3 linked regions of the Mus musculus genome follow. The protein of the gene in region 3 binds, or shares a complex with, the protein of the main gene of each other region. Links are inferred from orthologs where the notes say so. Each region holds a gene or a part of one and is shown on either strand. Other genes may lie near its edges. The genes, in order: Gon7, Lage3 and Tprkb.

Region 1 (4,130 bases), on a different chromosome or scaffold from region 3:
ACACGGTAAGTTATAACCCGGGGTTATTTTGGGGGAAGTGGCTCAGAATAGCTTAGAAAGGAGATATTTGCCCAGCTCTAGTGCATTAAAACTGTATTATATCCCCGCACTCAGGAGGCAGAGGCAGGCGGATTTCTGAGTTCGAGGCCAGCCTGGTCTACAAAGTGAGTTCCAGGACAGCCAGGGATATACAGAGAAACCCTGTCTGAAAAACTAAAAACCAAAAACCAAAAAAAAAAAAAAACCCATATTATTACATATTATAAAACAGTAATAGAAGTCTTTTAATCTGAGAACTAAATGATCTAAGGTGGAGTAGAAACTCCTAATTTATTACAACCTATTGGCACCCAACATAGGGTATCATTTTGTAGAAGTCTGATTCCAGTTCCTCCTCCTAGACCAATGCTCCCAGAAATAAGACTCAGACTCAAAATATATATCCAAATACCTTGGCCATACAGCTAGGCTCTTCTCTAACTATATAATTAAGATAACCACTTTACACTTCCACCAACAATGTGGCCTGTCCTATCTTAGAATGACAAGTAATGTCAACTTGCCCAGCCCAGGTGAAAAGATATGGAGGGAAGCTTTTGTTTTTTGCCTGCTTGCCCTCACTGACTATCAAGTTCATCTATCCTGTTACTGAGAGGCCCAAGATACTCCTTTGTTGGTGTTAGAACCTACTCTTTAGGATTCCAACATAGACTGAAAACTGGCAGCTCTCTTAAGACTTTCCAGGAACTCCAGTACATGATTGGGACTGTTGAGACATCCAGTCTCATGGACCAAACAACTATCAGATGCTTAGCCTTTCTGTCAGGAGACTGCCAGTTTTGGGCTACTCAGATCACAGGCCATAAGCCATTCTAATAAATATCTTTATATCACACTTATTCTATCAGCTCTGCTCCTTTGAAGAACCGTGAATAATACATCTAGCTAATACTTTTTATTGTTTCTTTAAAAAAATTATTTATTATATGTAAGTACACTGTAGTTGTCTTCAGACACACCAGAAGAGGGCGTCAGATCTCATTATGGATGGTTGTGAGCCACCATGTGGTTGCTGGGATTTGAACTTGGGACCTTTGGAAGAGCAGTCAGTGCTCTTAACTGCTGAGCCATCTCACCAGCCCCTTATTGTTCCTTTTAATGACAGCCAATAACTATATTATAAAGAATACGGAAGTTTAATCTCCTCTGCAGAAGAATTGACTCCTTAGCTCAGAACAATGAAACATCTATCTTGGTGTTCAATTCAAGATTAGAAATAAATGTAACAACAGTGGAGTGTGGTGGCATATTTCTTTAATTCCAGCACTGCTGAGGCAGAGTCTGGCAGGTCTCTGCAAATCCAAAGCGAGGCTGGTTTAACCGTTACATGGTGACAATGTCTACAAAATAATTTTATTCCTATTAACAGAGCTAGGGCTGGAGAGATGGCTCCGTGGTTAAGAGCACCACCTACTTTTCCCCTGCATGTACGAGGCACCCTCTTGACTATCTGTAACTCTGGTTCCAGGGGATTTGATGCCCTCTTCTGGCCTCCGAAGGCACTGCACATAAGAGGTGTACAGACAAGCATGCAGGTAAACATCCATCTTTAAAAGCAAACAAACCCCAAGCCACCAAAATTAACAGTTAATTTCTACAACAGGAGAGGGGGTGAGAGAAAGTAAGAGGACGGGAAGGGCTGTAGTGCTTTCGGACATTATATAGCCCTTAAACTCTGGCAGCACAAGATGGCAACGTAAACATTCCATCAAGGAAGGGGGGGGCTCATGAGGCGCCACCCCTCTCAGAGGAGCGGTTGGCGGTTAATGGGGGGCGGGGGAGTCATTGTTTTTCTTCAGTGGTCTAGTCACTGCTGTGTTGCCCTAGTTCCAGTAAATATCATACAAATATCCTTAAATAAATCCAGTGACAAAAAAAGGCCGGAAAGAAAGGCGAGGAGCCCTGTCGAGAAGGGTTCAGCGGGGGATAGAGACCATGACCTGAATGCATTAATACATGAATGAAACGATCAATTAATTTAAGAATACCAAAAAGCTAAACTAAAAAGAACTCTTTTACTTTCGAAACAATAGCTACAAAACTGAGAGGGTTAAGATTCCCTAAAACAAAGTGGGCCTCGGTCATTCGAAGCTCTCCTCATTCTGTCAAACACGTTTTCTCGTTTCTAATTTCACTCCTTTCCGTTTTTCAACAACCAGGTCTACCTTCCCGCCCTTTCGGGTCTTCGTGCCAGCTAGCAATGGTTACAGACCGCCACTTTCTCTGCCTATCTTAATCCTTTGCGTTCTTTGCAAGGGAGTCAAGCTGACTTCGTCCGTTGACCAGTCCCTAGTCCAACGCTCGCCACGGTTTTTTTTTTTTTTTTTGGTGGGAAAAGTCGCAAAAACGGGGGGCGGTGGGATATCAGACAAAGAGGGCAGCGAGTTCTAAGGATTTTTAGAAGCGATTGCTCCTCTTCTCCGGGGCTCGCCTTCTCTAGCCTGCCCTTCACACTGCCCGGTCCCGCCAGTGTCCCCCGGCGCCCCGCCCCCGCGCTCACCATCCAAAGCGTCGTCCGGATCTTCCGCCAAGCCTTGCGCGTCCTGCTCCACTAGGGTCCCGAAGAACTCCGCTACCAACTCCTTCATCCGGACCACGCCCGCCGACAGGCTCTGGAGAGGGTCCGCGTCTCCCGACGCCTCACAGGACACTCGTAGCCGCTGCGGCTCCCCGTCACAACCGACGTACTCGCCCGAAAGCTCCATGGCGACCACTCAGCTTCAACAGCGCGCCTCGGAGAAACGCCACCCGGAAGCGGAAGCCAGCCTGCGGCCGGGGCGGGCGGGAGAGGCGAGGAGGAGGAGGAATGACTTCCGATTTCCCGAAATTGGCCCGCCCATTTTCTTCCGTGTCCTTCCTTAGGATTGGCTGTCTGGTGCTCGGGCTCCGCCTCCTCACGGGGCCCCGCCTTCTCGCGACGCCCCTGGCGGCGGCCACTTTTCCCGCCTCCTCCTGGGCCCACGCAGCGGAGCCCGGTGACAGTTGAGGATGGCCGGAGCCGAGAGCCCCACCGAGTGCCAGGCGGAGCTGGAGCCCGTGGTGTCGCTGGTGGACGTGCTCGAGGAAGACGAGGAGTTGGAGAATGAGGCGTGCGCCGTCCTGGGCGGCAGCGACTCGGAGAAGTGCTCCTACTCGCAGGTGCGCGCGGCCCGGCTGCTCCCGCCGTCCTGTCTGTTTCCCGCTGGCCGCGGCCGGGCCCACTCACGGCGGCCCTTTACTCTGTGCTTCTACAGCCCCGGCCCGGCTGCCATTTCATCCTCAGCTTGTCGCCACCAGGGCTGTCCCTCGGTTCCGCTGATGGTACACTGCAGGCTCCGGTCCTCCAGTTGTCGCCTCTTGGTGGCCTGCTTTTCACGAGGTTGTTCTCGTGATCTCTCAAACCCAGATATTCTTCGCTCCACTTCTCCCACCGCCCAAGAATCTTAATTAGGGACCAGATGGGGAAAAGTAAAGGGAAAGTGGGCCGGCTTTGAAAATCTTCCGGTGAGGTTCGGCTTCCGGACACTCCTGTAGTCTAGTTTAACTGCTAGCTGCCCCCACCTCACCCCCTTTCTGGTTAAATGAAGTTTCGTGTGTATGTGCTATGTGACATCCCCTCTCTCTGGGGACTGGAAAGCCAAGAGGAGAAAAGGATCTGTTTGGCATTTGTGGGACCTTTTGAACGAGAGAGTTTGAGGGGCTGAGATGTAGTGTTTAGTGACGCATACTGTACATTTAAGTACTAACGTGGAAAAGGGTGGGTAGGAAGGAAACTTAACAACAAGGATGAGAATTGGTGGAAGGAAACAGGCTAACTATGCCCATGGGTGGAGTGGGAGACTGGGGTAGGAGTGAAGGGACTTGGAGTTATGGTGTGGCGTGGACTGAAGTCATAATACTAGTTGTCTTCGTTGACCAAGTTGGGTTTGCACTGTAAAATTGTTGAATAAATCTTGTATCCCAGAAGTAGTCACAGCATGGTCGCTGGTATTTAAATTTGGAGGATCATTGTTAGGTTTCAAACCCTGGACTCTGCTGTTGTGCCTATTTAACATATCAAAGCCGATGGTGGCCTCCTGGTTCTCCCTGCC
Region 2 (3,332 bases), on a different chromosome or scaffold from region 3:
TAATCTCAGCATTTGGGAGGCAGAGGCAGGTGGATTTCTGAGTTTGAGACCAGCCTGGTCTACAGAGTGAGTTCCAGGACAGACAAGACTACACGAGAAACCCTGTCTTAAAAAAAAAGAAAAAGGGCTGGCGAGATGGCTCAGCTGTTAAGAGCACTGACCACTCTTCCAAAGGTCCCGAGTTCAAATCCCAGCAACCACATGGTGGCTCACAACCACTCGTAATGAGATCTGACACCCTCTTCTGGTGTGTCTAAAGACAGCTAAAGTGCACTTATGTATAATAATAAATAAATCTTCGGGCTGGAGTGAGCAGGGACTGAGCAAACGGAGTTGACTGGAGCAAGCTGGCTGACCGTAGCGAATGGGGTTGACCGGAGCGAGCAGCGGTCCTAAATACAATTCCCAACAACCACATGAAGACGCAAAACCATCTGTACAGCTATAGTGTACTCATATGCATAAAAATGAATAAATAAATCTTTTTAAAACAAAGAAAAGAAAAAACAAACAAAAGAAACCACCTGAATTCCAGAGCCCCTCCTCCAACACAAAATAAAAACCAAAGAAAATTTAGAGGCTGAAAATAAGCTCAAATGCAGATTAGCAACATAGCTTTATTTTCTTCAGCAACAAACATTGAAGCACCAGACCAAATGGCTCCTAAGTGCCTGAGGACCAAATCAGGAAAAAAATATTAGGCCCCCACATTTATGTAGTAGTTACTATTTCTAGAATCTTTTCCCTAGGGAAAATTGTATTGCTTAGGAGGAGACGGAGATAAGGTCAGACATGGGTCCCCAGCCAGGCTTAACAGGAAACTGGGGGCCCAAAGAGCTGTATGGTGTTCACCACTAGGGAAAGCTGGTCAAGAAAGTTGATGATGGAAAGTCGGAGGAGGCGAGAATCTTCCGCGATCCAGCGTCTAAGAGTGAGGAAAAGAACATCAAATTCAAACTGGTAGTTTCTACCCTTATTTCTTTCCTTTTATTTATTTTTTTTTTTTTGGAAATAGATAGAAAATCTCTCACTATGTAGCCATGGTTGGCTTAGGGATTGCTATGTGGATCTGGCTGGCCTGGAACTCACAGTAATCAGACCATCTGCCTTTCTCTTGGCTCCTACCCTTTCTTCATCTGTCAGGCATCCACTGTACTGCAGGTAGAGACTAGACTGGTCCAGTGCATCATGCCTTTCCTTAAAAATCACTCTAGTGTGATGATGTCTCTGAGGAAGTGCAGCCTAGGGTGGAGGATGGCCCAGACACCTACCCAGCATCCTAGACTCTTTCAACACTTACACCTCCAGCATGCAGCCGCTCACTTTAAGCTCCTTCCCTACCAGTCCTCGATGTGGTTCGACATCTGGAACTAGGGACCCACAGGCGATTTCTGCCTCCAAAGAGGTCGGGAAAGGCACGAAGAGGGAGCTGGTAGAGACTCAGGAAAGGCACCATCTTGAATCAACTTTGCCTCCTTACCCCTCTAAAATCATCGCATCTGGTCTAAGCTCCCCAGGCTATATCTTCCACATTGCTTGGGCCATTCCTGCTCATTTCCCTCCACCCTGCTGCCCCTCCTCTGTTGTCAAGGAACTTTTCATGCCCAGGCCATACCCCAATCAGCGGGTCCCTCTGCTTCCCTCCTCCCTGCTTTTTTTTCTTTTCTTTTCTTTCTTTTTTTACCCTCCTCCAGACTACCCGCTTCCCTGTTTCAAGCATCCCGCAGATATGTCCATGTCCGGTAGGATACAATCTGTGATGTCGGGTTCCAGGCCTTTGGGTTAAAGGCACCATGCTTTTGCTGGAATTTCGGGAGGCTTCCAGTGCTCTTGCAACAGGGTGAGCTCCACTGGGAATAACTGCCTTTGTGCCTGCATTACCAGGACAACAGCGGCTAGTCTGACCATCGGCGCCATCTGCAGTGTGGCTTAAACCTGTGTGTGCTGTCTGCATGTCTGCTGCTGTTCCTCCTTTCAACCCACCTTCGCGTTACCAGCCCGCCGCCTCTGCCATTGCTGCGGCCCAGAACCCGCCTTATCCTCCGGAAGCTCCGCCCCTCGCACAGGCTGCCATTCCACACGCGCCTGCGCGAACGGGGAAGGTGGTGGGGCCGGGGAGGGGCGAGGGGCGGGGGGGGGGGAGGGAGGCGGGGCGGGGAGGAGCGGTGGGGGGGGGGGGTGGGGGTGGGCAGGAGGACTCTCCAGGGATTTATAGGTTGATCTGGTCAGCTTCTGCCTCCAAAGTGCATCACCATGCCAAGTTGTCCCTACAGTTTCCTAAAAGGGACCTAAGGTGATATTTTCTAAAAAACAAAACCACAACAAAAACCAAAACACTATCAAACCAAAAAACTGTCAAGTGGCCTGGTGTGGTGATGCCTGAAGAAATCTTAGCATTTAGGACCATGGTTCTCAATCTGTGGGTTGACCCAAGTTGGGGTCACATATCAGATATCCTGCATATCAGATATTTACATTACAACTCATAACAGTAACAAAATTACAGTTATGAGGTAGCAATGAAAATAATTTTATGGTTGGGGTCACCATAACATGAGGAACATATTAAAGGGTTGCAGCATTAGGAAGGTTGAGAACCACTGATTTAGGAGGTGGGAATAGTTCTTTGCTTAAGTTGGAGGTCAGCCTGATCTACATAACCACTTCTAGGCTATCCAGACTTACATATTTATATCATCTCAAAAGCAGTCACAAAACAGAAAACCCCATCAACAAACAAATGAAGTGAAATGAGATTTTGAGTATCAGCAAGCAAGAGGTTTCTTTATTTTTCCAGATAAGTTCTCTTAGCCAGGGTTACATGCCTTTAATCCCGACACTTTGGAGGCAGAGCAGGTGGCTGTGAAGTTGAAGTCAACCTGGTCTTCATAGTGAGTTCTAGGACAGCTATATAGTGAGGCCCTGTTGAGGGTGGTGGTAGAGGGATCGGGAAAGGAAGGAGAGAGGGGGGACAGAGAGGACAGAGAGGAGAAAGAGGAGAGAGAGACTCTATGTAGGTCTGGCTGTCCTGGAAGTTGTTCTGTAGACCAGGCTGGCCTCAAACTCAGAGATCTTCCTGCCTTTGTCTTCTGAGTGCCAGGATTAAAACACAACCCTCACCCCAGCTAAATGTATTTATTTTTATTGTATGTGTTTGAGTGTTTTCCCTGTTTGTATATAAGTGCACCTACTGTGTGCAGGTCCTGGTATCTATGTGAATCCTGTAACTGGAGTTGTGGGTGGTTATAAACTGTCATGTGGGTGCTGGGAACTGAATCCAGGTCCTTTGCAAGAGCAGCAAGTTTTAATTACTGAAGCAGCTCCAGCTCCTC
Region 3 (3,650 bases):
ATAAAGGGGTCATGGAGAGTAGCTGAGGTTTGGCACTGAGAGAGGCCAGAAAAAGCCATTGGTGAAGGTGTGGCCTAGTTGCAGGAGATCCTAGCATCTTGGAGATGCCAGTATATAGCAGCAGCAGTGGAATAGAGGCTTCCTGAACTTAGAAGACATGTTGTGCATGCTACAGAAGACAGAGCTGGAGTAACGCAAGCCCTTTGAAGGAGCTCAGAAGATCATGAGTGGATCCCAGATACTGGACATTGTGTTGTTTACACAATTGGAATTTGATTTTGCTTTGACTGTGACTGTGTCTTGGTTCTTCTCTCTTGAAGTATTTATTTTTTATTTTGTAGGAGACCTATTTTATAAGAAGTTGAGAGAGCTTCCTTTTTCCGTGTCCTTTATATAGGCTTCCGAGAAGAAGGTGTGGCCCAGATTAGAGGTGGATCTTACGATCTCAAAAGATCTATATTAAAGGTGTGTCGTCCCACCTCAAAGATCTGGATTAGAAGTGGATCTTCCCACTTCAGATGATTCACGTAAGCAAAGATCCCCTCACAGGTATGCCCAGCCATTTGGAGGGTTTAGTTCACTCCAGATGTAGTCAGGTTGAGGACTAAGAAGAGCCATCATAGGAGATGTGGCCTTGATAGAGGAGGTGTGTCACTGGAGATAGGCTCTGAGGATTCACTGATGCCACTAGGGTGTGAAGTGTCCCTGGGGATGGGCTTTTGAAACCCCAAAGGCCACAATAGGCCCACTTGTGTTCTCTACCTCCATCTTGTGGGCCAGATGTAAGCTCTTACGCCCGCCCTCCCCGCGCGCCTCCCCACTATCATGGTCATAGACTAGCCTCTGAAACTGTAAGCAGCCTCCAGTTACATGCTTTCTTTCATAAGCTGCCCTGGGTATGGTGTCTCTTTACAGCAACACAACCGTAACTAAGACACTAGGGTGCTTCTGCAGACTCACACTTCACGTATGAGAAGCACAAAACTCAGGCATCTGCCAGAACATACATGTGCTCACAGCTAGGCCATAGCCCTTCCTAAGACAGGATATAGCATTTTAGACTCTATTTATTATTTTAAAACACCAAAGTGTGACTTGGGCAAACACTTTTTACCTGAATATAAAAGAATTATAAGGTAAAATGAACATATTCTTAAATGTCTGCCTTGGTTAATTCATTCCCATATTTTGTACTTACCACATTGGGGTTTATCAATGAACCATCAATAGATCCTTCCATGGCCTTTTTTCTCAAGTCTCCTGCATTTTTTACATCTTTAAATAACAGAAGGGTCACCCTGCATTCAGGAAACAAGTCCAGCTGCTGTGATAGCTGCATTTCGTAGACAAGAAGGACTCTCCTGGACAAAAACAAAAGGTCATCAGGTTCTTATATGTAAAAGATTGCCTCCATCTTTTCCACCCAGTTTCTCCTCGTCTGTCTGTCTCACCTGACAGTCTTACTGTCCTATAACTTGCTCTGTACTTCCATCCTCCTGCCTCTGCCCCTCAAGCCCTAGAAGTGCTATGAAAACACACTCAGATGTAACCATCTTAACAAAATCCCTGCATTCTACTTCCCTGTTTCTTCTCTAGCTTTATTTCTTTTTTATTTTTATTTTTTTAAAGATTTATTTATTTATTATAGGTAAGTACACTCTAGCTGTCTTCAGACACCCCAGAAGAGGGCATCAGATCTCATTATGGATGGTCGTGAACCATCATGTGGTTGCTGGGATTTGAACTCAGGACCTTCAGAAGAGCAGTCAGTGCTCTTACCCACTAAGCCATCTCTCCAGCCCTCTAGCTTTATTTCTATTGCTGTGATGAAACATTCTGACCAGAAGCACCTTAGGGGAGGAAAGGGCTTATGTGGCTTATAATTACAGGAACTCAAAACCACAAAGGAACACTCAGCTGCTGGCTTCTGCTTAACTAACTAGATTGTTAATACAGTCTAGGACCACTTGCCCAGGGAATGGTGCTGCCCATAGTAGGCTAAGCCCTTCTACATCACAACAATTAAGAGTCAAGGCAGCCCATCATAGATAGGTCAATGGGTCAACAGGATCTGCACAATCCCTCAATTAAGAGTCCCTTCTCAGGTAACTCTGAGACTATGTCAGGCTGACAGTTGGAGCTAACAAATTAATTTCATTAACTACAGAATTCCTAAAGTAGAAAAGTCCATTTCCAGAACATCTTTGGCATCTTTATAAGGCGTGTTTTTAACTGTGCCGAGCTGTTTCTCGTTCTCCCATTTCCGGGGGTGGGGGTGGGGGTGGAGAGCGGCTGGCGCCCTGCTTGGGAAGGTGGGAAGCCTCTGTGCGTGATCTTCCAGAGACTCCAACCTGATGCAGGACGCCAGGAGATGACAGATCACAGATCACCTACCACAGTAGTGAGACCTTCATTACCGTATCCTTCCTAGTCTATTTTACTTATACTTTAACAAAGCCCAGTCACAAATATTAAGAAAAATAACTTATACTCAAATACCATACCTTACTCAGACATATATTTCAACATGGAATTGACCAAGAACATACAGTTGTTAAGTAATTCTCAGCAGCTGCGCTGGCTCCCACCTACAATGTAATAATGTAAAGGAAGTGTGGGGTTGTGCTCAGCATGAGGTCTCACATATTGTGAATGATGCCCTGGGTACAGCAGACATGCTATACATTACAGAAAAATACATACATTTTAAGAACAATTTCAACCATCAGTTTTCTTTTTAATGATGGACACAGAAGTTAGGGCCTTTGCAAGGCTAAGCACACTCTACTGTTGAGCGACATCTCCAGCACCAACACCTTACTGATTCTTTCTTTGGTTTAGCCAGTCTGCTAGGTTCTAGTCATCTTTTCTATCTGTCAGATCCATTTCTAGTTTTCTTTCTTGAGGAAAACTGGAAGTTTGATGATGATAAAATAAGATGTCCTTTTTATCATCTTGAAAGGTTGAGAATAGTCTATTCAACCAATGGCAAGGTTTGGTGTGACTAAATAGGGCTAAAAGTTGTCATGTTCAGTGGGAGTGGGCGTGTCTGAGTTTTCTGCCTGTTCTCAGGACCCTTTTCCTCTTACTGGGTCCTACTGGTTGCCTTGCCCAGCCTTGATGTGAGAGTTTCTGCCTAGTCTTACTGTATCTGGTTGTGTCATGTTCAGGTGATATCCCTGGGAAGCCTTCTCTTTTCTAAAGGGAGATGGGAGGAATGGCTCTATGGGAGAGGAGAGATGGGGGAGGGCTGGAAGGAATGGAAGCTTTGGTCAGGATATCTTGTATGAAAAAAGAATACATTTTAAAACTTTTTTTTTTAAAAAGTTGTTATGTGGGAGCTGGAGAGATGGCTCAGCAGTAAGAGCACTGACTGCTCTTCCAGAGGTCCTGAGTTCAATTCCCAGCAACCACATGGTGGCTCACAACCATCTGTAATGGGATCTGATGCCTTCTTCTGGTGTGTCTGAAGACAGCTACAGTGTATTCATATAAGTAAAATAAATAAATAAATATTAAGAAATATTTTTTTAAAGTTCTCATGTTGGCGGAGTCAATGGCTTAGTGATCAGTCTTCAAGCATGTACAAGGACGTGCTCAATTTTCAGCATAACAGTCTCAGCGCCCAAACAAAACAAAATCAGTGCTGT

The links.
Region 1: Tprkb (region 3) and Gon7 share a complex: the UniProt entries of both Homo sapiens proteins name them as parts of the EKC/KEOPS complex. The link is inferred for Mus musculus from reciprocal best matches to the Homo sapiens genes TPRKB and GON7.
Region 2: Tprkb (region 3) and Lage3 share a complex: the UniProt entries of both Homo sapiens proteins name them as parts of the EKC/KEOPS complex. The link is inferred for Mus musculus from reciprocal best matches to the Homo sapiens genes TPRKB and LAGE3.

Annotation. Positions count from the first base shown.
Region 1 is NC_000078.6:102,754,981-102,759,110, forward strand, and holds the start of Gon7 (EKC/KEOPS complex subunit GON7), read right to left. Parts: upstream 2,831-4,130; 5' UTR 2,766-2,830; coding exon 2,561-2,765; intron 1-2,560. Other genes in the region: Gm20604 (AK010878-Moap1 protein), read right to left, coding at 2,561-2,765; putative E3 ubiquitin-protein ligase UBR7, read left to right, coding at 3,049-3,198. UniProt on the Homo sapiens protein: Component of the EKC/KEOPS complex that is required for the formation of a threonylcarbamoyl group on adenosine at position 37 (t(6)A37) in tRNAs that read codons beginning with adenine.
Region 2 is NC_000086.7:74,351,574-74,354,905, forward strand, and holds Lage3 (EKC/KEOPS complex subunit Lage3), read right to left. Parts: upstream 2,046-3,332; 5' UTR 1,955-2,045; coding exon 1,752-1,954; intron 1,430-1,751; coding exon 1,301-1,429; intron 926-1,300; coding exon 811-925; 3' UTR 589-810; downstream 1-588. UniProt on the Homo sapiens protein: Component of the EKC/KEOPS complex that is required for the formation of a threonylcarbamoyl group on adenosine at position 37 (t(6)A37) in tRNAs that read codons beginning with adenine.
Region 3 is NC_000072.6:85,922,071-85,925,720, reverse strand, and holds part of Tprkb (EKC/KEOPS complex subunit Tprkb), read right to left. Parts: intron 2,589-3,650; exon of another isoform or gene 2,505-2,588; intron 1,362-2,504; 5' UTR 1,340-1,361; coding exon 1,199-1,339; intron 1-1,198. UniProt on the Homo sapiens protein: Component of the EKC/KEOPS complex that is required for the formation of a threonylcarbamoyl group on adenosine at position 37 (t(6)A37) in tRNAs that read codons beginning with adenine.